Alligator mississippiensis: one gene and its partners. The protein of the gene in region 1 interacts with the protein of each later gene in a biochemical or structural test. Links are inferred from orthologs where the notes say so. Each region holds a gene or a part of one and is shown in the gene's direction. Other genes may lie near its edges.

What was found.
Region 2: the proteins of ATM (region 1) and SMC1A form a complex in vitro, tested with the Homo sapiens proteins (2 studies listed by BioGRID and IntAct, with this or other methods). The link is inferred for Alligator mississippiensis from reciprocal best matches to the Homo sapiens genes ATM and SMC1A.
Region 3: of the proteins of ATM (region 1) and EIF4EBP1, one has a biochemical effect on the other in vitro, tested with the Homo sapiens proteins (2 studies listed by BioGRID, with this or other methods). The link is inferred for Alligator mississippiensis from reciprocal best matches to the Homo sapiens genes ATM and EIF4EBP1.
Region 4: the proteins of ATM (region 1) and mediator of DNA damage checkpoint protein 1-like form a complex in vitro, tested with the Homo sapiens proteins (2 studies listed by BioGRID, with this or other methods). The link is inferred for Alligator mississippiensis from reciprocal best matches to the Homo sapiens genes ATM and MDC1.

What each region holds. Positions count from the first base shown.
Region 1 is NC_081824.1:436,970,266-436,977,795, reverse strand, and holds the start of ATM (serine-protein kinase ATM), read left to right. Parts: upstream 1-4,521; 5' UTR 4,522-4,713; exon of another isoform or gene 4,714-4,753; intron 4,754-7,530. Other genes in the region: protein NPAT, read right to left, coding at 922-1,040, 4,301-4,337.
Region 2 is NC_081831.1:28,313,716-28,320,874, reverse strand, and holds the start of SMC1A (structural maintenance of chromosomes protein 1A), read left to right. Parts: upstream 1-4,159; 5' UTR 4,160-4,299; coding exon 4,300-4,408; intron 4,409-5,694; coding exon 5,695-5,883; intron 5,884-6,412; coding exon 6,413-6,525; intron 6,526-7,040; coding exon 7,041-7,159. UniProt on the Homo sapiens protein: Involved in chromosome cohesion during cell cycle and in DNA repair. Central component of cohesin complex. The cohesin complex is required for the cohesion of sister chromatids after DNA replication.
Region 3 is NC_081830.1:18,437,602-18,445,522, forward strand, and holds the start of EIF4EBP1 (eukaryotic translation initiation factor 4E-binding protein 1), read left to right. Parts: upstream 1-4,920; 5' UTR 4,921-4,976; coding exon 4,977-5,112; intron 5,113-7,921. UniProt on the Homo sapiens protein: Repressor of translation initiation that regulates EIF4E activity by preventing its assembly into the eIF4F complex: hypophosphorylated form competes with EIF4G1/EIF4G3 and strongly binds to EIF4E, leading to repress translation.
Region 4 is NC_081834.1:57,359,365-57,367,357, reverse strand, and holds the start of mediator of DNA damage checkpoint protein 1-like, read left to right. Parts: upstream 1-4,992; 5' UTR 4,993-5,076; coding exon 5,077-5,194; intron 5,195-6,259; coding exon 6,260-6,658; intron 6,659-7,993. UniProt on the Homo sapiens protein: Histone reader protein required for checkpoint-mediated cell cycle arrest in response to DNA damage within both the S phase and G2/M phases of the cell cycle.

The sequences.
Region 1 (7,530 bases):
CAGCAATGAGCTACTGTGCCGTAGTGTCACAAGGCACGAACTGTGATGGCAAAGCTACTGTACACTAGCTTGTTACTTCTGTGCAGTAGTATCTAAAAATAACCATGTGGCGACGGGACTGCGCAATAACGCTGATCACTGCACAGTCATTTAGTACTTGGTTAAGCAAGTACTAAATGACTGAGCAGTAACAACTGCGCAGTTGGCTACTCATGTAGATGTGGCCACTGAGAATCAAGAGTTGTCACCCATTCTATAGTTTGCCTAGAACCCCCATGGGATTCCCAAAGCTTTCTTCCTACAAGGTGCAAGTCAGTTGAGGAGAGTCCATACAAGCAGATACATCATTCTGTAATTACAGCAAACAGATTTCTTCCCCTTGCCCATATTCATTTCAAGTGCATCTTCTAAATTTTGAGACAAGCCTCCTATCCCAAATTCAACAGAAAAATCGGTTATGTTCTCAATCAAGAGCTTGCAGCAGGGATGTCATCTTGATCAGGTATCTAACCAGGTACAAGTGATTTAACTGTCTGAATAACTATAGTACTTAACTCCTGGAAATATGTATCAAAGGCAATATTCCTTGCTTACAATAACAAAACATGTAACTGTACATTATGAATACCGCTCACTTATTTTATTCTTAGATTTGTAAAACTGTCAGTGTCTGGGTCAATGTCCAATGTTTGTTATATTAAGAATGTAGGAAAAAACAGCTGTTCATATACAACCCCTTATGCAGGGTACCAAAAAAAAGTTACTCGGTCGTACTGTTTAAATGTCTTGAACACTGCAGATGTTACAACCATTCTGAAAGCATAGAAGTCTGTGCAAACTTAAATAAATTATTTTAGAAGTACATATTTTGGAATGTACTAGGGTTCAACTCTATCTCACGTGCTTCAAATATAAACTTACCAATAAACAAGCTGGAACAGACCCATCCTCTGTACAGTGCTCTGCATATTCTTTTAAATCTGAGCTTTCCAATATAAACTCACGACAGGTAGCTGAAAGTTTTTCTTGTTGTAAATATCCTGCAGTAAATAAGACAAAGGTATGTGATTTGATTCACTTTTTTACAAGGTACACTTGATAGGTGTCAATGCACTGATACAATTATGTAGCATAATACAGTAAGCTTACTGTGCAATCATCTAAGCACTCAAGTGACAAATACTCAAGAAAACACGAGTTGTGTTATGTTTTGAAAGAATAGCTACCTTTCTACACATCTCTCCAGTAGATAATGTCACACAGCTTTACTGACACCATGCTACATGTACATAAATAACTCTTCAGCTAAGAAATGATTGTTAAATGAAACCATTTGTGTGCACAGTACCCTACAGGCAAAAAATAGAGGTCTTGCCTCAAGTGACTAAGTCAAATGTGAGCTGAATATTCCAGTTTTAAAATAAAAATGGTACTCTGCAGTAAACTTTAAAAGACATTGCCATACAATAAGCAAGTGTTTTTGTGCACGTTTTGAAGTTCCAAACCCGGAAAACAAATGCAATATAAAAATATTTTACATGATTTCTTTCTCCCAAAAGATGACATTATAGATATTTATAGACATGGGAAAAGCAACACATGTCCATGCTATAACTTTGCTTTTAGTTGGTGAATCAGCTATACTTTAGGTACTCCTACAACTCGGGCTCTCTCACCAGCCTTAATATGATATATACAGAAAAACTCCTTCCACCTTCCAAAAAGTCTCAAACCAATGATATTTTAATATTTTATATTAACATTCAAGTAACTCAGGTACCAAACAGAAAGGAAAAAAACTATCTGAATGAATGATTCTAGACCACTGAGCCATAAAAGTTAGTATGGCATGTTGTTTATTTTATGCTGAAGATGGTTGGCCCCTGGTGATTTGGCCACTCTGGCTTTAAATGTCTCTTATGGGATTCAACTACCAAACATGTTAACTCCAAATTATCACGTAGAAAATAGTATTCTTTGAACTGACAAAGAGATAGGACCAAAAACTTTTTCCACCGTGTCCACAATAGTGTTCAGTATCTGATGCACAATGAAAGCTAAAAAAAACCCCAAAAAACTCTATTAACTGTTCAATGCTGTGCATTACAGAAGTTTAAGTTACACATGTCCCAAAAGTGATTAACTGGTATGTAACATATTACAATCATTTTTTAAGTTTTGCAAATGTGTTCTGTGGGTCAAAGGAAGTAGAACCATATCTTACATCTCTGACTTACAACAGTTAAGGATATATATGCTATGCACATAGACAAATTACAAAATCAAGCACCAAGAAGTTAGGAAATGCCAAAGCTAATGTTGCCTGTAAAATATGACTTTGATCCCTCGTGTGCATGCATTATGCATTCCTATTTCATTCCATGATCAGAAAATATTTTTCTATAGACCCCTGTATTTCACACAGAATGACCAACACTCTGCGTTTGCAGCTATTCTGTGTTTTTGTTTCCTTATCGTGCAATGCCCTGTGCCTTACTTACTGAATCCAAAAGCAGTCGTAAGGGGCAATAATTTATTTGCAATAGTGCTGGGGTGATTTTGTAGCTGTGATGGCCCAGGAAAAATGTGAGAAGCAAAGATTTTTGTGGGTGGTATCTTTTATTGGACCAACTGTATAGTTGGAAGGGATATGGAGGAGATTTAGGAACCGCAGCACCCTTTGTTGTCAGGTCTTCCTCAGCTACCACCCACAAAAATCCTAATTTTCTTGCAGAATTTTCTCCAGTGCTTTTGCTGTTTCATTTTAGTTTTTCTACAAATATTAATAAGTTTATTTTCACAGCATCACAGGGTAGCAGCCAGGTAGCAATGAGATGCTAAATGAGCAGAGATTCTTGAGATCAGATTAATAGTTTGTAAGTTTTATTTTTTAATATAACCAAAGCAATAGATTTCCCCACCTAACTCAGCTCTCTGAAACAGCTCCAGCATTTCAAACAGGACTTTAGAAATGATCCAGCTGGAGGCAAATGCACCTTTCGGAAAAACTGAGCCTATTTGGCCAAGCCATGAGCAACAGAAGATAAGATCTAGTACAACTTTAATTAAGTCTCATTACACGCACTGCTTACAATGCCTCCATAGGTTTGAAGCCTATGACTTTTCAATTCCTGGCCTCTCATTCTTGTATTGAAAAAGTTAAAGGGCTCTGTCAGAAATGCAGCAATCCCCCAAAATAACCGTTTTAAAGTGACCGCCTTCTACTGTTATGCTAACCCACAAGCGGGCATCCAGGCTATAGCCATATTGGTATAGAGGAAAAAGCAATCAGAGCTCATGGTAGAGGTGATATCTTTTAGTCCAACAAGATTTTTGCAAAACCTGACACACGAAAGTTATCAAATTTTAGCCGATTTTGAAATTAAATCTTCATATTTTCCCCAAAGAGGAAGCAACTGTGACCACCTGAAACACTGCTCTTGCTTTTGCTCAAGCTAATTTGCATCATCACAGAGCCTCACAAAAGAGGGCAGAGACTCTTAGCCAGCTAAGACCTGCCTGCCCAGAGGAGTTTTTCATCTATGGACTCCTCTGTGATCTGTGAAATCCTATGAAATACGAACTTTCATTCCTATCCAAAAGAACTTTTACAATCTTTTCTCCAATGCCTGATGAAAGGTGTTTGTGCCCAAAAGCTTGCAATGAAAGAATTTTTTTTTTGCAAAATTCTTGTTGGTCTAATAAAAGGTATCACCTCTACCACAAGCCCTGAACCTCACAATCATGTTTTTCGAAGGTGCAGGCTCCCAGCCCGTGGTAGGAGGAGGCTCTCTCAAGCTGGTCTTCCAGTTCACAGGAAAACGCACAATTGGCCTGGCAGCCAGAGCAATGCTGGGGGGGGGGGGAGAGAAGAGCAGATTTCTTGGGGGAGGGACGATCATTCATTGGACCAACTGCAAGGTGGAGACAGAGCCAGAAAGGCTGTGGGGGTCGGCAGCCTCAATCATGTCACTTGCCGCTCGAGGAAGCGGCTTTGCCCTGTGCTTGGCCGGCTCTGTCCCAGCGGCGCAGCCAGAGTGCTGCACCCCTCCCCCCCGCGTCGCCTCCTGGCGGCCCGCGCACCAGCGGCTCGTTTCCTTCGCCCCCTTTATTCTCCTCAGACTCCAGGAGACAACGCGGGCGGGTCCCGACGCCGCACAGCCCCCCGGGCAGCGCCGGGTTCCCCACAGGGCCAAAGCACCGCGAGGCCTCAGGGAGCCGGGGCGGGGCGGGTCTCTGGGTTGAGGCCAGGCCGCGGAGGCAGACACAGGCCGCGCTGAGGGAGTCTCGCCGCACTCACCCAGCACCAGGCGGGCCACGTCGGACGGCAGCAGCATGGCCCCAGCGGGCGGCGGCACTCGCAGCTCGGCCGCCCCGCGCACCACACGCAGAGCGCGGAAACGCCACCCGCGCAACCCGCCCCGCCCCTTCCGCCGGAAGCCGCAGTTGCACAACCGCTTCCGGCACTACCCCTCCCTCCCTGCTGGCGCTGGTGCTGCGAGGCAGGCGTAGTGCGCATGCGGGTGGGGCTGCCGCGGTAACGGCCCGCGGCGGCGCGTGGCAGCGGTGGGGCCGGACTAAGGCTGCGCTCGTACGGCCGGGCCGCTCATCAGTGCGGGGAGGCCTCCGCGCTCCCCACGGCTGCACGGCGCCGCGGCTTGACGGCTTGAGCGGGTGCGAGGCCGGGGAGGGTTTGATGAGCTGGTTTGGCGGGTGCGTTAGCGGTTCTTTCTGGCAGCGGCTCGGACTTCGTGTAAGTCGAGCCAGGGAGGCCGCCTGTGGCACGTGCGTGCGGCCCTGGCGGAGCGGGCACAGGGCTCAGGCAGCGCAGGAGGAGGCAGGGTAGGGAGCAGAAAGCAGAGCAGAAGATGGGGCGGGGGCACGCAGGGAAGGAGGCAGAAAGCAGAGCAGCAGGTCGGGTGGGGAGCAAAGAGCAGAAAGAGCAGCCAGCTAATTCTCCGGGGAGGGTGTTGTGCTGAGGGGAGGGTGTGGTGTTCGTTTGTCACTTCTGCCAGAAATCTCGCCCCCCCTCCCCCCCCATGAAGGGCATTGACAGGTAAATTCTGCCAGTTAAAGAGGTGTTTCTAAATTTGGCTTCTTGACAACAGTGTTTTTAAGCTGGACACAAATATTTACATGATTTTGAAAACTTTCCAATAATAATCATTGTTTTCGGCTTTCTCCAGAACCTTGAACAAAAATGGACAAGGGGCAGATGTGAAACCGGACTAGTTCTTTTTTAGGCTAGGGACAGACATTACACTTAAACTGGTTTAAGTGATCAGAAACTGGTTTAAACCTATAACAGAACAGACGTTCAGGGCACATAAACCAGTTTGAGAAAAACCTGGTTGAGTGTAGTATCAGACTTAACTGATTTGGCTCAAACCAGTTTGTCTGTCTGTTTAATCTCAAAGGTTTACAAAAAAATAACTATCAGCACAAAATGAGGGAAAACGCAGATTTTACATCATTATTTTATTTATCTTTTTGCTCAATGGTCTGAGGTGATACATGTGACAACAAATGTGCTTATGCTTACAATCTGTTACTTAAGTTGGCCAGGAGGATAAATGATCTGGGAGCACGAATGACGTTCTGGTTGATCCTCTCTTTGTAAGGCAAGCAGGGGCCATCATGCCCTGGAAGTGCATGTGGCTGGGACCGGGGTGTTGATGTGAAGCCTTTGGATTCTTTGACAGCAGGCAGATGTTCTGGGAGAGGGCCTGCTATCAAGAGATGGGATCCACCTGACCAGAACTGGAAAGAGCATCTTTGGACATGGTCTGGCCAATCTAGTAAGGAGGGCTTTAAGCTAGGTTCAGCGGGGATGGTGAACAAAAAAGCCACATAGTGCAGAGGGGAAGACACTAGTGAGTCACAGGACAGCAACAAGTGGTGCAGAAGGGAAGTGAATAGGTCAGAATACAAAATACATTTGATGTGTGGATGCAAATGCAAAAAGTATAGGGAAGAAACAAGAAGAGCTGGAGACTGCAGCCTGTGAAAAGAACTATGACCTGATTGGTATCACAGAGCCCTGGCAGGACACCTCTTATTACTGGGATGTCAACACTGAGGGGGTTACCCTTTGTTTTGAAATGATGGGGTTGGGGAAAAAAGGTAGTGGTATTGCCTTCTATGTCAAAAACATACGCTTGTTGCTGGACTCAGTAGGAAGAAGATAGCGGAGCAGAATGGATTTGCGTGAAGAGGAAAGGTGAAAGATGCAGCACTGATATAATGGTGTGGATCTATTGTAGGCCACAAAATCAGGAAGAGAAGGTGTCTCCAAAAGCTATGGGATAGGAAACTTAATTTTTCGACATCTGCTGAAAGAACAATACAGCCAAACACAAAATGTCGAGCCAATTCCTAACTTGTGTGGAAGACAACTTTCTGTTCCAGAAAGTAGAGGATACAACTAGGGGCTCATCTGTCTTGGATCTTGTCTTGACCAACGGGAAATAACAGGTGGAGGATGTGAAAGGTGATGGGCAACTTGGGAGGAAGTGATCACAATCTGATATAATTCTAGGTCCTGAGATGAGGAAAGCATGGCATCAGCAAAAGTAGGATGCTAGATTTCAAACAGGTGTATTTCACCCAGCTCGGGGAGCAAATAGGCATGGTTCCTTGGAAAGATAGCCTGAAGAAGAAAGGCACCCAGGAGGGCTGAGAGCTTCTAAAGTGCACAGCATTGGAAACCCCCAAAAAACTGTTCTGACATGATGAAAGCGCAAGAAAAATGACAAGAGACCAATGTGACAGCACAAGGAGATTCTAGGATGCATCCAGTGCAAAAGGAAAGCGTACAGGCTATGGAAAACTAGACAGGTCACCTAAAAAGCTTACTGGGAAGTAGTAAGAACCTACAGGGACAGAATCAGGTAGGCAAAGATAAAGCATGAGCTGCACCTGGTGAGGGAGATGAAAAACAACAAAAAGGTTCTATAAGTATTTGGGCTATAAAAGAAAGATCAAGAAAGCTGTAGGCCTACTGTTAAGTAACAGGGAGGGGGGCACTCTAATCAGAAGATGTAAAGAAGGTGGAGCTACTCAATGCTTCTTTGCTTTAGATGTCATAAAAACATTTAAGCTGGAGCCAGACACCTAATAAAGAGTATTGGGTCTGAATGAATTCAACTCTGTAGAGTCTGATAAACATCATCCCAGGGTATGAAAGGAATTGACAGAGGAGATTTTGGTCCCCTTAGCAATAATATTTATAAAGTTAGGGGTGGTGGGCGAGGTAACAGAGGACCGGAAAAAAGACAAAAAAGAGGGCCTGAGAAACTACAGTGTACTTAGTCTCGCCTCAATACCTGGGAAGTTACTGGAACATATCCTAAGGAAGTCCACTGGCAGGCGTCTAGAGGAGAAAAGGTTGATCACAAGCAGTCAGCGTGGATTTACTTGATCTCTTCCTTTGACAGTGTAACTCTGTGGGTGGATGACGGGAATGCTGTTGATATAGTGAACTTCAGCAGTGCTTTTGACCAGGTCCTGTATGACCTTCTCATAAACAAA
Region 2 (7,159 bases), on another chromosome or scaffold:
TCCAGGTATCCCATAATGCCTTGGGGGAGTGAGTTTAGGTGTCCTATAAATCCTTGTGGGGAGTTGTATCCCATAATGCTCTGGGTATGGTCCAGGTATCCCACAGTACACTAGCACAAAATATCTAGGTATCCCAATCTTGCCCTACCAAGATGCTAATATCCCATAATATTGTGTGGGTGTCATGTGCCATAATGGCATGGGGTGGGGCAGGAGTCACATAATGCCCTGGGAGATGGTGTGGGGTAGGTATCCCACACTTCCTTGGGGATGGGGGAAGGATAGGTGTTCCCATAAGGCCCTGGAGGGTACTAGTGTATCCCACCATGGCATAGTAGAGATTTAGGTATGCTATTATGACCTGGGGCAGGTATTTAGGTATTTTCAACCTTTTTTTAATAAGTGTACCCCCAGCGGCCAGATGCAGGGAGGTGGGGGGGGGGGCGCATGGCATACAGCTGGGTGCAGAGCAGCAACAATGCAGGGTGGTGGGTAGTAGTGGCCACTGCATGCAAGCTTCCCCCCCGCCCCGTATCCGGCCAGCTGGGGAGTGCCTGTACAGCCTGCAGAGGGGTGCCACTACCCTTGCCTCCACTCTCCGCCCCAGCTCTGCTTTTTGCAGGGTGGCGGTGCTTCGTCCTCTTGCCCTCATGTACCCCCTAGGGCCTTCCCAAGTACCCCTGGCAGTATGCGTACCCCCAGATGACAACCTTGTAGCCTTCTATGACCAGGTCACACTGCCTGGACGCGGGAGCTGAGGCTGATGTCATCTTCCTGGACTTTAGGAAGGCCTTCGACACAGTTTCGCACCCTATCCTCATTGGGAAGCTAGCAGACTGTGGAGTGGATGCCTACATGGTCAGGTGGGTGGCCAACTGGCTTAGGGACCGCACCCAGAGAGTGGTGGTGGATGATTCCTTCTTGGCCTGGAGGGAGGAGGGCAGTGGGGTCCCGCAGGGTTTGGTCCTCGGACCGATATTACTCAATATCTTCATCAGCAATTTGGACGAGGGCGTGGAGAGCACCCTCTCCAAGTTTGCTGATGATACCAAGTTATGGGGCAAAGTTAGTACACTGGAGGGCAGGGAGCAGATTCAGGCTGACCTGGACAGGTTGGATCAATGGGCAGAGAGAAATAGGATGCAGTTTAATAAAGATAAATGTAAGGTACTCCACCTGGGAAGGAGGAACCCCCAGCACACCTATAGGTTGGGGAGTGTCCTTCTCAGCAGCTCGGAGGCAGAGAGGGATCTTGGAGTCATAATTGACTCCAAGATGAACATGAGCCAGCAGTGTAACAAGGCCAATCGCACTTTGTTGTGCATTAGCAGGTGCATGACTAATAGAACAAAGGCGGTGATGCTCCCCCTCTATGTGGCACTGGTCAGGCCGCAGTTGGAGTACTGTGTCCAGTTTTGAGCCCTGCACTTCAAGAGGGATGTGGGGAATCTCGAGGGGGTCCAGAGGAGGGCCACTCGCATGATTAGTGGCCTTTGTGATTAGACCCTACAGGGGGAGGTTGAGAGAGCTGAATCTCTTCAGCCTTCACAAGAGACAGCTGAGGGGAGATCTTGTGGACACCTATAAATTTATTAGGGGAGGTCAACAGGGAATAGGAGAAGTGCTGTTTACTAAGGCGCCCCAGGGAGTGACTAGGAATAATGGGTGTAAAGTAGTTGAGAGTGGATTTAGGTTAGATATTAGGAAGAAATGTTTCACAGTAAGGGTGGCCAGGATCTGGAATGGGCTTCCAAGAGAGGTGGTGCTATCACCTAGCTTGGAGGTCCTCAAGAGGAGGCTAGATAGTCACCTGGCTGGGGTCATCTGACCTTGGTCCTCTTTCCTGCCAGGGGCAGGGGGTCAGACACGATGATCCATTGTGGTCCCTTCCGACTCCTACAATCTATGAATCTATGAAACCCTTGCCATGGGGGGTGGGGGGAGGAACAGGTCCCATAGTGCCCTGGCATTTGTACCTGTGCCTGGTTGTAGGTGGCAGTGGCCTGGGCCCAGGCGCACTGACACACATTTTCCAGCTCCTCCAGTTCCAGTGCTTGCAGCCCTAGCACCACCTGTTGCTGCTGCTCCAGTGCCTCTGGGGGTGGGGTTGGGGGGGGGCATTACTGGGAGAGAACCCAGGTATTCAGGCTCCCAGCCCTTCTTGCTTTTACCCCCCTAAGCCCCATTCCCCTCTCAGAGAACTGAGGAGTCTGGGCTCAAAGCCCCCACTTCCCTCCCAGAGAACCCAGGTGCCCAGGCTCCGAGCCCCAATGGAACCTTGGCACGTAGACTCCAAGCTTACCCCCCATTCCAATCCCCCACCACTACAGAACCCAGAGGTCCAGGCTCCCACTGCTCAAGCCCACCAACAGCACTCTCCCTTCCCAGAGAACCTAGGCATCTAGTTCCTACCAATCACCGATGGAGTCCCTCTCGGCCTGGGCCTGGTTCTGGGCCTCACACTGCTGGTCCAGCACCTGGTGCTGCTCATTCTGTTGCTCCTGGCGCCGCACTACCACCTCTGGGTCCTCACCCTTGAAGCACTGAAGCCTGGCAGGGCCAGGGGGGCCCTGATCCTCCAGCTCTGCGGCCTGATCCTGGGCCTGCTGCTGGGCCCAGGTGGCCTCCAGGGCCCGTCAAAGCCCCCATGCCTGTTCTTGCTTCTTGGCCTCCAGTATCTGGGCCACCTGGGCACCCTGCAGGTGCACTACATCTGGGGGAGAAGGGGTCAGAAATCTCTGCTCCAAGGGAACCTTGGAATCCGGGTGTCCCTGGGGCCTGAATTTTTTTTTCCAGGCTCACCAAATGCCTCCTCCCGGCATTTCTCAGTCTCCTCTCGCAGCTTCCGCTCAGCCACTTGGCATTGAAGGGCTTCCATGTCTACCTAGATGAGGGAGAGAGGCAACGGCAAGATGGGTCCTGGATGCCTGAGCTCCCTTGGCTCTGATCCACCAGACCGTATCCCTCCACCAGACAACCCAGGTGACTGGGCTTTCAGGCCCTCCTGCCGCCCCGCTCTCACCTTCGCAGCCCCCACACTCGCCTCCTGGAGTCCCCTGGTGTCTGGGATCTCAAGCCCCACTTCTCTCACCCCCTCAGCCCCCACTCCCCTCCCAGGGCACCCAGGTGTCTGGGCTCCAAGCTCTTTTGCTCTACCCCAACAGACTCCATTCCCCTCTCAGGGAACTTAAGTATCTGAGCTCCCAGTCCCTCCCTGGTCCAACCCCCCCTAGCCTCTACTGTCCTCCTGGAACAGGGAGGGAACCCAGGGATCTTGACTTATTCCCATGCGGCAATAGCGAGGGTTGAAGATCTGTGTCTGACGCTGACGCTCCTTCTCCCTCTGGGCCTCCAGCACTGCCCCCACCTTGTGGGGCAGGTCTGCCTTGTACATCCTGGGGGAGGGGGTGGAAGTGTCAGTACCAATGGGAGAGAACCCAGCACCTCCTGCTCATCCACCAGCCCCATTCCCCTCCCAGAGAACACAGGTGTCCAGGCTCCTACACATTGGCCTCCCTCTACCCTCTCAGAGCCAGGAAAGAACCCAGGCACCTGGGTTCATGACCTAACTGTCCTTCCCTGATCTTTTGACCCCTTCCACTCACCCTTACTTGCCCCCAAACAAAATTCCCTTTGCTTCCTGACCTTTGACTTTTGACCCCAGCCTGTCCCCAGTCTCCTCTGCCCTTTGACTCCCAATTTACGTTGGTCCCTCTTGACTTCTGACCCCTGTCTTCACCCGTATTTTTGACCCCTGTGCTCTCTGACTGAACCCTCCTTGCCCTGCTCCGCTTTGTCTCCGAGGCCTTCTGTTTAAGATCCTCGTCTCCATGGTAACAGGCCAACCCATTTCACCTCAATCTCCCCTTCCCATTGGTACAGCCCAACCGCAGTTTTATGCAAATAGCGGGTTCCCCGCGGGCCAATTAGGAACGAGAGTTTGGGAAGAGTTTATTTGCTTGTTATGCAAATAAACATCCCTATTAAGTAGAAGGGCGGGAGCCCGAATGCAAATAAGGCCCGGCGCCTCGCGGGCTAATAAGGAGGAAGAAGCGGCCAGCTATGCAAAACGACCCCGGGAGCGCCGACCAATCTGAGGAAGCCTTGGAAAGAAGCCCTGCCCTTTTATCTTGGACTAGTTCCTCGCGAAGGCCGGTGCTCTCGCGAGATTTCCTTATCTTGGCGGCAGCGGCGGGCCAGAAAACAGTGAGGGGGTAGGGCTGTGAGTCGGTGCTCCGGCGGGTCTCAGTAGGGCCGGACGGGACGGGACGGGACGATCCGGTCCGGTGTCTCGCCACCATGGGATTCCTCAAGCTGATCGAGATCGAGAACTTTAAGTCCTACAAAGGGCGGCAAATCATCGGGCCTTTCCGCCGCTTCACAGCCATCATCGGGCCCAACGGCTCCGGTACGCGGGGCCTGCTGGAGGACCTCCCCTACTCTAGTGGGCAGCTGGGTGTTACGGCCCAAGGGGGACGTTTAGCTTAGCGGCGGGCGGCTGGAATGTACCACTGAGACCCCTGTAGGGTGAGGGGCTGAGGGGGGTGGTATAGTCCGGAGGGAAACTTTCGTTTGGTGGCAGACGGGTGGGATGTTCCATTGAGACGCGGTGGAAGGGTCCACGGATGAGTGGGTAGGCGGGGGGATAGGTCACCCTTGGCTTGGCGGTGGGCAGTTGGAATGTTCCACTGAGACCCCTGTGACGCACGCTGGAAGGGCCCTTGAAACTCTCCTCTATGCTGGTGGAAGGGTACAAAAGCATTTCTTCTCCCCCCCCCCATATTGCGGCACTAGGTGCCATAGGGGACTTTCCCCACATAGGAATGCTATTGCCCACAGAACTCCCCCCACCCATGACATGGATGGTACAGTCCATTGGCACCCCTCTCCCCCCATCCCACATTAAAATTGAACAGACTGTGGCTCCTGGGGAAGGGTATGGCTCAGGAACCCCCTGTGATGCATCTCCCATCCCACAATGCATTGTGCCTGCCACCACCCCCTGCAACAGGGGTCTTTCCCCCACAGGGATCCTCCGACAATGCATTGTTTATGCCAATCTTCCTGCTATCCCATGAGGCCTTGCCCTGTTGACATACCTTCCCACAATGTATTGCTCATGCCAACCCCTTCTTGCTGTCCTGTAAGACTTTGTCTCTCTGATCCCTTTTGCTGTCTCACAATGCATTGCTTATGCCAACTCCACCACTGTCCCATAAGGCCTTGCCACTTGATTTGCGTTATTTCCACAGTGCATTGTGTGTACTGATCCTTCCACTATCCCACAATGCATTGCTCATGCAATTCTTTCCCACTATCCTATAATGCATTGCTCATGCCAACCCCTGAACTCTCATGAGCCCTTCCTTGCACCAATCTCCTATCCCAAAATGCCTTCTCCACACTGAAATCGTATCACTCAACATACTTCATGTGCCAAACACTACTTCACTATTCTATAATGCCTTGCTCTGACTGCCCCATCCCTGCTATCCCATAGTGTATTGCTTATGCTACCCTTCCTAGTATCTCATGATGTCTTGCCTGCATCAGTCCCCTGCTATCCCACAATGCCTTGCCCACACTGAGGCTGCACCCCACAGTACACTGCACCTACCAATCCTCCTACTATCCCACAATACCTTGCCTGCGCTGACCTCCCTTCTGTCGCACAATACCTTGCTGGTTCTGCAGGGAAGTCAAACTTGATGGATGCCATCAGCTTCGTGCTGGGTGAGAAGACAAGCAACCTGCGGGTGAAGACTCTGCGGGACCTAATCCATGGGGCACCAGTAGGGAAGCCGGCTGCCAGCCGCGCCTATGTCAGCATGGTGTACGCGGAGGATGGCGCTGAGGATCGCACCTTTGCACGTGTCATCGTTGGTCAGCTTAGGGGTGGAGCTTGGGGATGGCACAGTGGGGAAGGGGTAGGGCTTGAGAGCAGGGGGAGGAGCATAGTGGGGAAGGGGTGGGGCTTGGACATAGTGCAGGGCTTGGGAGAAAGGGGAGGGGTTGAGGGTGGAGCTTGATAGGGTAGGGCAGAGTGCGCTTCTGGGCTGGAGCAGAGGAGGGTGGAGAATGGGTGTGGCTTGGTTAGGGGGCAGGGCTTGGAAAGGGCAGGGCTTGTGGGTAGGGGTGCAATGTGGGATAGTGGGAGGGTGTAGTTTGGGGCTGGATATGGGGCTTGAGGAAGGGATGGTGCTTGTCAAACTGAGGGAAAGGGTTGGGCTTTAGAGAAGGAGGAAGCTTGTGGGCAGGGGAGGGGCCAAGTGGCAAGGCTTGGGCAATGGTCAGACCAGGGGAAGGAGCTTGGGGGAGGGGAAGGGTTGGAGGGTTGACACTGAGGTTGGGAGGATGCAGACTCCATTCCCTCCCCGTGCTGGCCTTGACCCCCACCTCTCCAACTCATTAGGCAGCTCCTCAGAGTACAAGATCAACAACCGGGTGGTGCAGTTGAGTGAATATAGTGAGGAGCTAGAGAAGCTGGGCATCCTCATCAAGGCGCGCAACTTCCTTGTCTTTCAGGTGGGGGTGCTGCCTACCTGGGATGGGGCAGAGGAGGAGGAGGGTTATGGGGCTCCATTGTGCAAGGGGTGGAGCTGGGAGGGAGGGGGAGGGGTATGGGACTTGTGGTGTGAGGAGTCTTGGGTGTATGGGGGAAAGGGGGGCCCAATCCTGGCTGGGGCTTGGGGGGCATCTTGGGCCTGATCATGGGGGTTGGGAGGTGTATTCTGGCCCCAATCCTGCTGGAGGGTAGGGTCTTTCAGGGCTAAATCCTAGGATCTGTGGAGGGGGGAGGTTCTGGCCTTAATCCTGGGTTTTTTGGGGTGGTTCTGGGCCCTATCCTTACTGGAGGGGCAAACTGGTGGTATGCTGGTGCTGATCTTGTCTGGGAGGGTCCTCGGTGTGATACTTCAGTTTGAGGAGGTCCTGTCCGTGATCTTGGGGATTGGGAAGAGGATCCTGGGCCTGGGAAGAGGTGGGATCCTGGGGCCTGGTAATGATGCCCTGACCTTGTCTTCCATTGGCCCGGGTGGCAGGGGGCAGTGGAGTCGATTGCCATGAAGAACCCCAAGGAGCGCACAGCACTCTTTGAGGAGATCAGCCGGGCTGGGGAGCTGGCTCCTGAGTATGACAAGCGCAAGAAGGAGATGGTGAA
Region 3 (7,921 bases), on another chromosome or scaffold:
CCTGCCCTCCGGCGTGTCCACTTCTTCCCACAGTTTTGTGTCATCCACAAACTTGGGCAGAGTACACTTCACTCCCTCATCCAAGTCGCTGATGAAGACATTGAAGAGTATCGGTCCAAGGACCGAGCCCTGCGGGACCCCACTGCCCACACCCTTCCAGGTCGATACTGACCCATCCACTACGACTCTCTGGGTGCGACCCTCTAGCCAATTCGCCACCCACCGGACCGTGTAGTCATCCAAGTCACAGCCTCTTAACTTGTTCACCAGTATGGTGTGGGATACCGTATCGAAGGCCTTCCTGAAGTCTATGTAAACAACGTCAACCCCTACTCCTGTGTCCAGGTGTTTTGTAACCTGGTCATAAAAAGTGACTAGATTAGTCAGGCATGATCTACCTGCTACGAACCCATGCTGGTTTCCCCTCAGCATAATTTTTCCTGCCAGGCTCTCGCAAATGTAAGCCATGATAATTTTTTCAAAGACTGTACCAAGGATGGAGGTGAGACTGACTGGCCTGTAGTTGTCTGGGTCCTCCTTCCTCCCCTTCTTGAAAATGGGGACCACATTGGCCCTTTTCCAGTCCTCTGGGACCTGGCCCGTGTGCCACGAGCATTCAAATATTCCTGCCAGTGGCTGTGCAGTGACGTCAGCCAGTGCCTTCAGTACCCTCGGATGGAGCTCATCCAGGCCTGCTGACTTAAACGCATCCAGTTCCTCCAAGTGACTCTGCACCATCTCAGGGTCTACGCTTGGTAGTTTGGCACCTCTCTACCATCCCAGTGTGAGACTTGTCTTGCCCCTCGCTTAGGAACACTGAGACAAAGAGCTCATTGAGGAATTCAGCCTTGTCCCCCCTGTCCGTCACCAATTGCTTATGCCCATCTAGTAGAGGTCCTATTCCACCCTGGGCCTTCCTTCTACTCCCTATATATCTAAAAAACAATTTTTTATTATCCTTTACTTGGGATGCTATCCTCAGCTCCATGGTAGCTTTGGCCTTTCTAACTGCCTCCCTACAAGCGCGAGCAGAGGAGGTATACTCCTCTTTAGTAATCTCTCCCCGTTTCTACTTTTTATATGCCCCGCTTTTTGCCCGTAGGCTGCTCTGGATATCTCTGGTTAGCCAAGGAAGCCTCTTGGCCCCTTTCCCCCTTTTCCTCCACATCAGGATCATCTCCCTCTGTGCCCGAAGGATCATTTCCTTAAGGCACAGCCACCCTTCCTGGGCTCCCATCTCTTCAAAACTCTTACTCTGCAGTGCGTCCTTGACTAATCGCCTGAGTTCGTTGAAATCAGCTTTCCTAAAGTCTAGCACTTTCACCCTACTAGTTACCTTACCCACTCGATGTCTTATGGTGAATTCTATTATTTGGTGGTCACTGTCCCCCAGGTGACCACTGATCTGTAGGTCTCCTACCATGTCATCCCCCGTTGCCAATACCAGGTCCAGTAAGGCATTCCCCCTAGTGGGACCATATACCTCCTGCGTCAGATGGAGGTCCTGTACACAGGATAGGAACCTGCGTGAATGGTCGGACTTTGCTGTCTGCATCTCCCAGCAGATGTCTGGGTAGTTTAAGTCCCCCATGACTACCGCCTCCCTAGTTTTTATGGTCTCTGAGAGCTGCCTCAGGAGCCCTGAATCTAGTTCTTCACCTTGGTGTGGGGGTCTGTAGCAGACCCCTACCACCAAGTCCCTTTCTCCTTGACCTCCATGTAACCTAACCAACAATTCTTCTACTTTCTCCTCCTCTGATTCAGTTTTGATAAGGGTCGATGTATATCGGTCATTGACATAGAGCACCACCCCTCCCCCTCCCTTCCCCACTCTATCCTTTCTGTACAGCTTATATCCCTCAATGTGTACCGCCCAGTAGTGGGACGAATCCCACCAGGTTTCTGTTAGCCCTACTAAGTCATAGGTGTTTTCTGCAAGCAGGAGTGCTAGTTCATCCTGCTTGCTCCCCATGCTCCTAGCATTAGTGTATAGGCACTTGAGCCCTGTGACTGGTGCCTTTATTGCCCCCCGGCTCTGATACCCAAAGGGCCCCTTATTGCTTACCTGTGCTGTATTGCTGGCCGCCCCATGGATTGCAGGTTCCTGATGTTCTCCTTCTTCAGGCTGGACTGTTCTTGTGGGTGCCACATGGTTTGGTGGTCCACGGCTTCCCCCGCACTCATCTTCCCCTCCCCCCGACGAGCCTAGTTTAAAGCCCACCGGAGGAGATCCGCCAACCTAGAAGAGAACACATGCTTACCTTTGGGGGACAGGTGAAGCCCATCTCAACTGAGCATGTCTCTCATCATGATGTGCGGAGCAAGCCCCAAGCACTCAGCAGAGACCGGCTCTTGTATCGGCTCCTAGAGTTAGGCTCAGGAAGCAAATCTAGGAAAGCAAAATCTAGGAAAGCACATTTCCAAACTGAGGAGTAAGGAGCCAAGTACGGAGCCACAGACCCTGTCTTGCTTTCCCCCCCTCAGTGCCCTAGACCAGACTTCTGCCATCCCCCTAGCCCACCAGATCTGACTCCGTGGGTCTGTGAGAGCACGTGTGGCTGCTCTGGGGTTTGTATGAAAAGAAAGGGCTTGCTGGCAATTGCCACCTGCCTGTTTGCTTAGCAGTCTCCTCAGGCTGAGGAGGCACAGCCTGAGTGCAAGGAGAGAAGATAAACAGAGTTTGCCCTAGGTCCATGTGAGCAGGAGAGAGTGAGAGCAAACAGGCTGAAGGGCCATTTAAGGCAAAACTGCTTGTCCAAGGCTCAGGAACAGCACAGAGCAAACTGTTGATTAATGCTGGTGACAGAGCCAGCGCCTGGCTCCAATGTCAGCCTTATTTCTACCTCCTCATCCTGGCTGGCTAGCTCACCGGGCCTGCTGGTGAAACCCCTCAGGAGCCAGCTCAGCACCCCACAGGGGTACAGGAGGGACGGTCCAGCGGGGAGGGTGTGAGATGGGGCTCATCTCCTTGCCACCAACTTCCCATCTGTCTTTTCCACATTCTCCAAAGCACCCCAAAAAGTGCTGAGCCCCAACCCCTCTATTCTCAATGGGGCCAAGCCCCTTCCAAAGGGGAGGGGGCTTCTTTTTATCATATACATATATCTCTATATGTACATGTACGTATATAGCTATATACAGAGAGAGAGAAAGGGATGTATAGGTGTATAAAGATAGATATATATGTGCATAGCGATATCTCTATAGATAGACATATATCTCTATACACATATATATCTATAAATCTATACACATATGCATCTCTATATATCTATATACGTATAGATATATCTCTAGATGTAGCTGTATCTATACTGAGAATATATCTATATAGAGATATTAGATATATAGATCTATACATATATATATATATAGAGAGAGAGAGAGAGAGAGAGAGAGATTTGGTCCCTCAAGGCTCTGTCCTTGGACCTATATTATTCAACATCTTCATTAACAATGTGGACACTGGAGTCAGAAGCGGACTGGCCAAGTTTGCCGATGAGTCCAAACTCTGGGGTAAAGCATCCACACCTGAGGACAGGAGGGGGATCCAGGCTGACCTTGACAGGCTCAGTAAATGGGCAGATGAGAACCTGATGGTGTTTAACACCGAAAATGCAAGGTTCTCCACCTTGGGAGGAAAAACCCGCAGCATCCCTATATGCTCAGCAGTGCTACGCTGACTAGCACTACAGATGAAAGGGACTTGGGTGTCACGATTGACCACAAGATGAACATGAGCCTGCAATGCAATGCTGCGGCTAGTAAAGCGAGCAAAATGCTGGCTTGCATCCATAGATGCTTCTTGAGCAAATCCCGGGACGTCGTTCTCCTGTTGTACTCAGCCTTGGTGAGGCCGCAGCTGGAGTACTGCGTCCAGTTTTGGGCTCCACAATTCAAAAAGGATGTGGAGAAGCTTGAGAGAGTCCAGAGGACAGCCACGCGCATGATCAGACCTTGTGACAACAGGCTTGAGAACCTGGAAAAGCGCAGGCTCAGGGGTGATCTGGTGGCCACCTATAAGTTTATCAGGGGTGACCACCAGTATCTGGGGGAAGGTTTGTTCATCAGAGTGCTCCAAGTGATGACAAGGTCAAATGGTTATAAACTCCTGCAAGACTGTTTCAGGCTGGACATAAGGAAGAACTTCTTTACTGTCCGAGCCCCCAAGGTCTGGAACAGCCTGCCGCCGGAGGTGATTCAGCCACCTACATTGAACGCCTTCAAGAGACATTTGGATGTTTATCTTGCTGGGATCCTGTGACCCCAGCTGACTTCCTGCCCTTCGGGCGGGGGGCTGGACTCGATGATCTTCCAAGGTTCCTTCCAGCCCGAATGTCTATGAAATCTATGAAATCTCTGTATCTGTATAGATACATATAGATCTATACATGTAGATCTATATAGAGATTTATATCTATGTAGAGAGATACATGGATATATAGATCTATACATATAGATCTATATAGAGAGATTTATATCTGTGTAGATACATGGATATATAGATCTATGCATATAGATATATATAGAGAGATTTATATCTGTGTAGATACATGGATATATAGATCTATGCATATAGATATATATAGAGAGATTTATATCTGTGTAGAGAGATACATGGATATATAGATCTATATATATAGACATACATAAAGAGAGATATATATCTATATGTAGAGAGATATATAGATATCTCTCTATATCGATATTTCTCTATACATATAGATATACAAATACAGATCTATCTACATCCATATATTTATCTCTCTCTCTAGATATACACACATCTACACAGATCTATAGATCTATATCCAGCCACACACACGCAGTGGGCGGGGCCTCAGGAAGGGGGCGTGCCTTCCCCTGCCGCGCTCCCGTGGTGCCCCGCGCTCAGGGCGGGCCGGAAGTGCGTGTGGTTCCGGGTCGGAGGGCGCGGGCGGGCGGACGGACGGTCGGGTGCTGTAGCCGCCGCCGCCATGGCCGTGCCGGGGAGCTGCCTCCCGGGGCAGACGCCGAGCCGGGACATCCCCGCGCCCTCCGGCGCCCCGCGGCTCCCTCCCGGCAACTACAGCAGCACGCCCGGCGGCACCGTGTTCGGCACCACGCCCGGCGGTGAGCGCCGCGCCGCGCCGCCCTCCGCCCCACACGTGTCCCCCCCGGGCGGGCGGGCGGGCGGGCCAGCTCGGGCCTGGGCAGGGCAGCCGTGAGCACGGCTGGCGGAGTGTTTCTCAGTCCCCGTCCCGTGGGCTTGGCAGAGCGGGGGGACGGGGGCGGCGCATCCAAATGGCTGTAACAATAAGTCGGTGCCCGCGCCGCAACGCTCTGCGCTGTGCTGCGGCGACACGGCACGCGTGACTGGTGCCTCCCGTGGGGCACCCCCGGGCGGAGGGGCCCAAGTGTAGCGGGGGCACAAGCACTCTCCATGCCCCCCCCCCCCCGACTAGCCGGAGCGCTCGCTGTCAGAGGGGCCATGTGTCCCCTTCCCCCCCCACCCCGACGTGACACGGGCTCCGGTTGCTCTAAGTAGAGTTGGTCCCGGGGCTGCTGTGAGCATTGGGGCACCTTATGCTGTAATAACTGGGTTGGAGTCGTAGACAGCGAGGGCGGAAGGGACCTCAAGGGGTCACCTCTAGGCCACCCCCCTGCTCCAAGCAGGACCAGCCCCAGCTACATCATCCCAGCCAGGGCTAAAAAAACTTGCACAGATGGTGACTCCGCCACCTCTCTGGGTAACGTGGTCCAGGGCTTCGCCACCCTCTTAGTGAGATTTTTTCCCCCCTAATATCCAACTTCGGCGTCCCTTGCTGCAACTCGAGCCCGCTGCTCCTTGTTCTGTCATCCGCCCCCACTGAAAGCAGCCCGGCTCCAAGGCTAGTTGAGCTGCTTTGGTGATTCTTTGGGCAGAGCGACCTGCTGGCACCCGTCTCTTTTGCAGGTACGGGTGGCTGTCGGCTCACAGGGGGCTCATCCACCCTTTTTAACAGCTCTTGTTTCAAGTCCTGCTGGGTGTCCGTACATCTTCCTCACCTGGGCCGGTCACCAGTGGCCCCACCATGGAACAGGCTGTGCTGGTTTACATGGTACCAGACAGCAGAGGAAGAGAGGCCTGGCCTGATGGGAATTTCACATTATTACAGCTGTTTGGACACATTGTCCCTTTCCCTCTGCTTTGCCACGCTGTTGAGAGAGCGTAAATGCTGTGCAGCGTAGCTACCGATGGAACACGCTGTAAGTGAGAATGCTGGCTGATGGGAAGTTGCTAATTCAGCAAGGGATCAAAGACAATCAGGGAATTAAACTGCTGAAAGGAGTAGTGATTCAAAAACACTGAAGTAGCGGGGCAGTGGGGCACTGACTTCCCTTTTTTAAGCGATGGTCTGGGAAGGTGAGCATATGAAAATACACCTGCAGTTCTTTTTTTATGAGAAAGTATATAGAGAATTAAAACACTTTGTCACGTATTAATGTGCTTGGCTGCTTGTTGCCCTCCCTTTTATTGTGGCCGGTGGCTGCCACGTGTATTTTCTCATGCCTGCTACTCTGGCATTAGAAATGCTTGGGATTTTGGCATTTCTCTGCTTAGTTCATTGGCAGCTGAGTCTAAAATATACGTTTTCAAAGTATCACCAGAAATGAACCAGGCTGCAGGCTGGGCTGAATGGAATGAATGCTATTAGAGCCCTTGATGCAGTGGAGTCTCGCTGACCTTCCTTGTGCTAATCCGGAAACCTGCTGGTTCTTGCTAAATGCTGCCTTGCCACGCTGTGTCATGAGCTTTCTGTGATGGCGAGTGTGCTAGTTCACTATCTGGTTTTCAGCATCGCTTGTTTGTTTGGCTTGATAAACCCTTGTTCTTTTGAAAGCATGTAACACACTGTTCCAGTCCCCTGGCCAAGGCGCTGAAGTACTGTGAGCAGTAAATTATGTTGCTCTTGTCAAAATAAAGGGCCCACTGAAATTTGCCATGCAAAACCCTTGAATAATGTGCATAGGCAGCTCTTGTGCACCTCAGCTTCCCTGGTAGCTCCACTGATTTCAGTGGCACTGGGTACTGAAATGTGACATTTTGGGTTTATTGCTAGATGCTGAAATATACTGAAGCCCTCCTTGGACAGTGAGCACATTTAGTCTGGGGCAGAGGGAGCTTGGAATGTTTTCTGGTGCTTTGGGAGTTTCTTTTCCCTGGATTTACAACAGTTTTACCTGCTTCTGTTCTGCGTGGTTCTGATAAGTTAGGCAGTTCAGCGTGCTTTGTTCCCCTGCTGTTTCACTTGCAGGGGAACAAATAATAGTAGAATGCAGGCAAAGGCCAAGGGCATGCCTGTGAATCATCTCAGGATGGTAGTGGAACGGAGTTGCTCAGGCAGTCATATGACAGTTAGATGCGTTTTGTTTTCTTGGAAAAAATCTGTCACCCTCATTCTGTAGCAGTGTCGACATGAGGAGTGGGGGTGTTGGTTGGTTGTGATTGAAGCAGTTCTTTAAAGCCGTAGGCTAGGGAAGGCTTGTGGGTGTCAGCACCTGCAGGCTCTGGGGAGGAAGCCTGAAATGAAGGCTGAAGATGGGAATGGTGAAGTATGCTTGTTCAGGTGCTGGATATTGCAGGGTTGTTTTTTACTGCCCTCCTTCCCCAACTCCAGTTTTAGGGAGACTCACCTGCATTCGACTTAAAAGATGAGCGTTTTATTGATGAACTAGCCCCAAGGTGACTCCCAAAGAGCTGTATCCCAGAGCTGCACTGCTTGTGCCCCTTGCACATGATATTGGCTGTAGCTTGCTGCCCTGGGTGAGGTCTGGGGAGCCCTTTCCTGCCCTGCAGCATTCAGGCACAGGCTGGGGGCCGCTAGACATGCCGAAGGATTCAAAGGCATCTTCTCAGCACTGTTAGCTTATCCTCCTGGCTCTGTGAGCCCCTTGGAGC
Region 4 (7,993 bases), on another chromosome or scaffold:
GATGGCCCACTTGCTACACTACCAAAACCCCAAGTTCCTGCCATGACCCCAGCCCTGGCCCATATTGTTATTATAGGACCTACAAGAAGCCCCAGCCCCACCCCCACACCCCTCCTTTTTGTAGAGCCTACTCAGCCCTGCCCCTGAACCTCCTTGTTCTGATAGGCCCTAACCTCCCCCTGCCAGCACACAGCCCCCTGGTTACAGGCCCTTCCAAAGCTGCCTAAGCCCCCTTGTTGTTATAGGTCCTATCAGAATTCACCCAGCTGCTTATATAGGCCCCACCAAACCTCCAGCCCAGCTCCTTGTTATTACAGACTCTACCCCCGTCCCCCCCAGCCCTATTATAGTGTAGCAGGTCAGGGAACCAGGGGTGGCTGTGATGCCCCCTGGTGGCTCTGTGACCATGCCCTGTTTGACTTCTAGGGCATGCCCCCTATCTTTCCTGCCACACCTTTACGGATTATAAATAAATATAAAGGGAGGCTGGCCATGGACCATTGCACGCCCCCGGTCGTACTGGCCTCAAACCTGTGGCTGGGCCTTTATATTCTCAGGCCCTTGGCTAGGCCCCTGCAATCAACTGTGCCTGGCAGGGCACTTAAAGCCTTATGGGTTAATTGCGTGGCTCCGAATTGTCCTTTTACCACGCCCAATGCCTCTCGGCTGTTATTGGTATACTAGCCAATTGCTCACCAAGAATGACAGGGTGGAGGTCAGGTGAGGGCGAAGCATCGTCCCTTCCCCTCCTGGTGCTGGCAGGGAGGGCTGGGGGTGGGGGGGTACATGCTCCCCTCTTCTCCCTGCTCCCCTGTTCCACTATGGCGAAACATGCACACGCGCGCGCGCACACACACACACACACACACACACACAGAGGCGCATACTACTGTCACTTACTCTCTGCACATTGACACACAGAAACAAACACGCTATCTCCTGCCATGAATAGACGCACGCACACACAGGTATGCACGTGCATGCATGCACATAGTGGTGACTCCTAGGGAGTGCATGGGGGTGCACATGCACTCCCTGAGAGCAAAAGTGCACCCCCTGACCATCCATGCTTGCCACTTAGGCGATGGGCAGGGGGGGCAGACAGGAGCGTTGGTGCCCCCGCTGTAAGCGCCAGCTGGGGTGGGGAGTGCTGTGGTGGTGCTCCCAGAAGTGGCCACAGCCAGTTATGGAAGGGGCCACAGTGATCGGTTGGTGGGACAACCCACTGTCAGTGAGATTGGCTGGACACAGACACGCATGTACACACAAAGGGAGAAAAAGAATTTTGTGGGGGGAGCTGCATGTGCCCACGGGAAAGTCTGTGGGGGGAGGGGAAAGCATGTGGATGGGGTGGCTGGGGCTGGGGCTGGGACCAGGCAGGCATTGGGACAGAGCAGAGCTGGGCCTGGGCTTGGGGCCCATTGCGCCCGTGCAGCTGCCCCTTCCCCCATGCCCGGGGTCATTGCCCAGCACCGGTGGCCCCTGATAAACAGCCACCCCTAGCCCCACACCAGCCCCGGACTGCCTTGGGCCCAGGGCAGGCACCAAGATGAAAAAAGGTTGAGTACGTTAAAAACTAGAAAAAGTAGAGTTGTGTGCCTGGTGCCTAGAGTGGTGATCTTCTCTTCTTTCGTTTGGAGAAATGGAGAGTTGAGTACAGTTTTATCTGAGGAAGTTCCTAAATGTCCCAATGTTGGTTCTCCATTGGGGAACTCTTCTTCAAGGCCAAATATTGGTTCTAGCTAGAGGGGGTGGGGAGGCTTTTCAAGGAAGGGCCCCAAGCTGGAGAAACAAAAGGTCTTCTGGGTGTGAGAAAAGTAGGCTGGGAGAAGGGCATGGGGATGTGTGGACTCCATTTTCTTCCTTCACAGGCACTGCCCTGACGAGACTCAAATGAACCACAGTGGAAGGGTTGAAACAGTCCTGGCAGGACTAGAGAAAGTCTCCCCACCTTTGAAGACCCACCTCCATGTTAAGGTGGATGGTACTGATGAGTTACTTCTCAGTTGGCTTCTTCTGGAGAGGTTTCCTTCAGGTCTGCCCAGCTGGTTGGCAAGGGTACCTTGGAAAGCACTCAAAGTCTTGGAAGAATTCCTTGTTGCCTGACCTAGGGAATGAACTGCTCTTTCCCCACCCAAAATGGAGATGATGATGAAGCTGTCAGAGGGCCTATCTTCCCTCTTTCTCCTTGGAGAGCCCAATTCCTTGGTGCCCATGTAACCAGAGTGGCTTCTGCTGGGGTAGTAGCTTCCCTGGGGAGTCTGTATCTATTTATTTTGTGGGGTCCAGCACCTTGCTCTACCATGCAGGTGCCTCCCCTTGCGTTTTGAGTTGGCTTTTAGTCCCCCAAACCTTGCCCTACAGTGAAAAATGTACCCAGGGGAGAAGACAAAGACCATCTTCAGGCTACTGAGAGCAAACCAAGCAAAAAAAGACGGGTGCTCCTAGGCCAACCCAGTCAGCTCTGTTTCCTTGGAGAGAAAGAGAAGAGCCATGGGGTATTGAGGGTCTCCAAAGACTTCTTCTCTGGCCAACAACTTTGAGGAGAGGGGGTAGAGTGGGGCTGGGGTCTTCTTCCCTTGTTCACCCCCAATGGAAGGTCCAGGGGGGGAAAGGAAAAGGCTGTGATCTGGTTACAGGGGGAAGCCTAGGAAATGCCACCAGTGTCTAGTGGCACCGTGGAAGAGTTGGGCCAGGCCCTGCCATCCCACAACCCAGCTTCCAGGCTCCAGACAGCCCTGTTCCAGGCAACTTCTCAGCCCTGATGAACTCAACAGACCAGCTTGGCCCTGGAGGAAGAGATTGGGGAAGCCAGGGAAGCAGTGGCCATGGTGCCGTGACCACACCCTGTGGGTTCCCCCACCCCTGGCACTAGCACAAAGCTGACAGCCTCCATGCCCATCCTGTCTTTCTTTCTCCTTCTGTCTGCTCTGCTCTGTTTTATTTTTTTCCCCTAACAGCTTTTCTCATATTGAAAAGATGGCATCTTGTGAAAGCATAAAAACAGGAAATTTTTTTAAAGTAGGTTCTGTTGTGGCCTCAGTCCACTGGGGGTGGGAATCCTGGAAACATGGGTTCTCTGTATGGGTCTTGCATTTGAGAAGTCTGCATGGTTACTTGCCCACATTGGACATCTGGGCTCCCTGAATCTGTCTGTCTGTGTGTACTGGATACTTGGGTCCTCTGTGTGCAGGCCCTGGATACCTTGGAGGGAGGGGGACGGTATCAAAAGCCATTTGGGAGTGCATGGCAGACACTTGGGTGGGCCCCAGACACAGGTTCCAGGGAGGGAGTGTGCACCCACGGGCCCTGGACACCTGGGCTCTCTGGGAGGGTCCAGATGCTTGGGTTCTCTGTGAGGGGTAGGTGGGAGCAGGGGGCGGTGAAATCCCAGACACCTGGTTTCTCAGGGGGAAGGGAGCAGTGGGGGGCTGGTGGCCTGGACATCTGGGTCCTGGGCACCTGGAAGGGGGCAGTGTTGGACACAGGATCTGTGCGGGGGGAGGGGGGGCTGTTCTCCCGGACACCTGGGTTCTGAGTAGGCGCCTACCTGGGTACCCTGAACCGCGGGCTTCTGCGTTTCCTTCCGTCTGTCCCGAATACCTGGGTACTGGATGCCTGCGTCCCAGACACGTGGGCAGAAGGGCTCCCTCCGGCTCATCTGGAAAGGGAGAGAAGCCCCGGGTGAGGCAGAGGTAGGGCCAGAGCCACCCTTGAGGGAGGGGGGGAGGGAGACACCCAAGTGTCCCAGCTCTCGGGGCCATCATAGAGGACATTCTGGTTTTCTTCAAGACAAAAATATAGGATAAGAAGGCGTCCGGTTGTGTATCAATAGAGGACACCCGGACTGTCCTCTATGTTGGCCACCCTACCGGGCTCCCAGCTTCCCCCTGCTCTCGTTCCCCAGCCCCCACCCCCGCCCAGAGATCCCAGGCATCCCTCTGGGCTGTTACCCCGCACCCCCTTAGCTCCCTCTTCCCCTGCTGAGGACCCCGAGTCCATGCTCTCAGCTCCGCCTGCCCCACAACTCCCCCAGCCCACAAAGGGCCCAGGTGTCCGGGCTCCCAACCCCCCGGCTCTTGGCCCTGCCCGCCCTGCGATTGACACCTGGGTTCTCTGGGGGGGTGGGGGGGTGTCCCCTGGTGAGCATGGGGGGCTGGTAGGTGAGCTGGAAGCAGCCGTGGCCCCAGGCCTGGATGGTTGGGGGCAGCCCCTGGCCAGTAGGCTGCCTAGCAACACTGGAATGACCCTCGTGTCTCCTAGCAACACTGGGACACAACACAGGATACACAGGGCAGCCCTAGTTAGCAGCCTGTTGCTTGGCAACACCAGATGTCCCTGAGATGCCCCTTCATGGTACCCAGGGCAGCCCTAGTAACCAGACTGTTGCCTGGCAATGCCAGATGCCCCTTCACAGTAACAGGGCCTCTGGGGCAGCTCCAGTGGGGTCGGGCTCGGCCCAGGTGCTGCTCAGAGGCCCAGGCTTCCTCAGTGGCTAAAAATGGTGCAAAGTGAGGTCATTCTCATTAATGAATGTGGGGATAATGAGGAAAAAGACACTCTGGAGGACCAAATGTGTATATTCTAGCTTTCCCTCTCTATGGCCAGGCGGCGGCCATTTTGTGGCAGGCGAAGGCAGTCACTCTACCCGCCCACCCTTGTGCTTAATGTCCCTGGGCGTGCTGCATGAGGTATCTTTATGGTCACTGGTGTGGTAGGAGTGCTAGGGCGCCATGTTGGGGAGGACCCCGTGTGGACATTCTAGCCCGCTATCTCCGCACTCTATGCTGCACACTGGCCTCCATGTTGTGGAGGACCGCAGAGAGCTAGGCACTCTAGCTCATCGCAGCCCGCCTCTCTATGGTCCCATGGAGCCTCTCTAGGCAGCCACGTCCGGGCTCCGTGGCTCCAGCGCCCGGGCGCGGGGCCCTGGCAGGGGTGGGCGGCGAGTCCCGGCTCCCACCAGGGGGCGGGAACGGGGGGGGATCGAGGGCCACGCCCCCGAACTAGGGATTGGGTCAAAGGTCAGGGGCGGGGCGAGGTGGCGGGGGCTCAGGGCACGGCACGGCCCGGGCCATGGAGCAGACGCAGCTGCTGCAGTGGGAGGAGGAGCAGGAGGACGAGGCCCCCGCGGACCCCGGGCGCCCCGTGGGGAGGCTGCGGGTGCTGGGGGGCCGCCACGGCCCGGAGAGAGGTAGGAGCCCCGATGTCCGTTGGGCGCAGGCGTGCGGGGGCGGGAAGGGACGCCCAGTCCAGTCCAGTCCAGCCCAGCCCCTGCTCCCAGCAGGACCAGCCCCAACTAGACCGTCTCAGCCGGGTCTTAAACATCTCCAGGGATGGAGACTCCACCGCCTCGTCCCCAGGACCCCTTGCTGCACCTGGAGCCCCTCGCTCCTTGTCCTGTCGTCTGCCCCCACTGAGCACCAGCCGGCTCCACCCTCCTTGCAGCCCCCCTGCAGGGAGTTGAGGGCTGCTGTCAAATCCCCCCCCTTGGTCTTTTCTCCTCTAGACTCAATGAGCCCAGTTCCCTCCGCCTCTCCTCGCAGGCTGTGCGCCCCAGCCTCCCAGCCGTTTTCATCGGCCTCCGCTGGACTCTCTCCAGCTTGTCCACATCCTTGCTGGAGTGGGGGGCCACAACTGGACACGGTTTTGGACTGGTGCCAGGGGTGGGGACCCCGCTATACGAGGAACCCGGCACCTGGGGGTAACCCCACTGCCTGAGGAAGCTGGTGTCCAGGGTGATTCATGACAAAGGCATTATTTCCTGGGGTTCAAGCCCATTCCAGCTGGGGCCAGATGTGGGGCTCATGTCCCCAGGGGAGAGCCTGCCGAACGGCTGGGTTCCCTGGGAGGGGAGAGGAGGGGGGCTGGATCCTCTGGGAGAGGAGCGGGGGCAGGTGGATTAGACCAGGGAGGGGCTGGGAGCTGAGATGCCTGCGTTTTATGGGAGAGGAGTGGTGCACACGCATGCACACGTATGTGTGGTTGGGCAGTAGAAGGGGGTTGGGAGCCTGGGTCCTCTCCCAGCACTGGGAGGAGAGTTGGGGCCTGGTCAGCTAGACCAAGGGGTTTGGCAACCCGGACACTTAGGTTCTCTGGAAAAGAGTCTGTGTTGTGAGGGCTGCGGGAGTGTCCATCTGTGCAAGTGAGCATCCCAGATGCTTGGGTTGAGTGTGCATACACGTGCATGTGTGTATGCACTGGCAGGGGTGGGAGTCTGGACCCTTCCCAGACACCTGGGCTTTCCCTTCACTCGCAGACATCTGGATCTACCCTGGTGAGAACGTGGTCGGACGTCTCCCCAGCTGCCCCGTGCACCTGCCGGTGCCCTCCGTGTCCAAGCTGCATGCAGTGATTGAAGCACCAAGGCCTGGGCCTGGATACCCACACCTGCTCTGGGACCGTGGCAGTCTCAATCGCACGCGGCGCGGCCGTGCCGTGCTCCAGCCCCACGTCCGCTACGCTCTGGCCCATGGCGACACCCTGCTGTTTGGCGACGTGGGCTGCCAGTACTTCCTGCTGCCCCCTGGGGAATCTGCAGCCTCCCCCCTGCACTGTCTGACCGTGGAGGAGACACCAACCCCATGCAGGCGTAGGATGGGTGCTGGGGCCCAGTTGGCTCAGGAGTCAGAGGTGAAGAAAAAAAGATGGCGTGGAGGTGAGTGGCAGGTTTTTCTAGGGTCTACAGTAACAAAGTGGATGGTGGTGGGGGTTACTGTAGGCCCTATAAACAACAAGGGAGCTGTGGGGAGGTTTGATAGAGTCCATTATAACATGAGGGATGGGGGGGGATTTTAGTAGGGCCTGTAGGAGGAGGGCTGGCAGGGGTGGTGGTGGAGTCCATAACAACAAGGGCTGGGTGGGTGGGTTGGTAGGGCCTATACAAGGAGCTGGGTGCATTCTGGTAGGACCTATAACAACAAGGGGGCTTTGGAGGCTTTGGTAGGGCCTGTAACAACAGGGAGCTCCCTGGTGTGTGTGTGGGGGGGGAGGAAGGGAGATGGTTGTAGGCCCTACAATAAGACGATGGCTGTGGGCGGGGCTGAGGCTGGTACTTCTTGAAGGTCCTATCATAACAAAGGGGCTAGGGCTGGCGTTGTGGCAGTGTAATAAGTGGGCCAGTCCAGGGCGTGTAAACATTGGCCCGCTCACTTGTCCTGGGCAGTCCACCCACCTGCCTCCCCTGCCGCACTTTTGATGTCTTTGTTTTTCCCAGGTGGGAGGCTACCCATTTCATTGCCAAGGGCGCATACACAGCTTTGAGCCTTCCCTTGTATCCCATGCCTCGTAGCTGACATTCACAAATGCTCCTGACTCCCTTGCTGAGCTGTACCACCTGGCGTCACCCGGTCTAGAAATCCCTGGGCCTCCACCTTGCAGCCCTCACTCCCTGGGCCCCCGGAGCCTCAACACCCGGCTCCTTAGTGAGCCTCAGGCCTCACTTAGTGTACCTAGGCTGCATCCAGGCCCCCTTCTCATGGCCTGGACCCCACCTCAGGCTCCACACAGTGGGCCTTGGCCCTGCACATTTCTGTTGGGGTGTGCTCCCCTAGCCTTTTCCCTCCACAGGGTCACCCACACGGCAGCAGGGGCTGAGGCTTTCTGGCACCTCATACTCGCGCTTCACTGGGGAGGCACAAGTGTGGCAATTCTTAGAAGTTGCCCCACTGCACCATCCTCCTCAGCAGGGCATAGTTTTAAGCTCTAGGAACCTCCTCCATCCCTAGTCCCTGCTCTGTACCTCCAAGCTGTTCCAGGAACAGAAGCTGGCTGGGTGACATTGCTCCTTCAGCCCCTGCAGCAATTGCTTGTATTGCTCTGGGGCCTTGCCTTATACCCAGGCTCTCCACCAATCAGGCAGCCTTCTGTCTGACATGTGACCACCTGCTTGGGCCTACTCCCACCTGCGGGCTGTTTGCTCAAACCCCTGTGGGTGACAGGCACACCCTGTGCTCCGTCACAGCTAGGCCCTATAATAACTTGGGAACCAGGG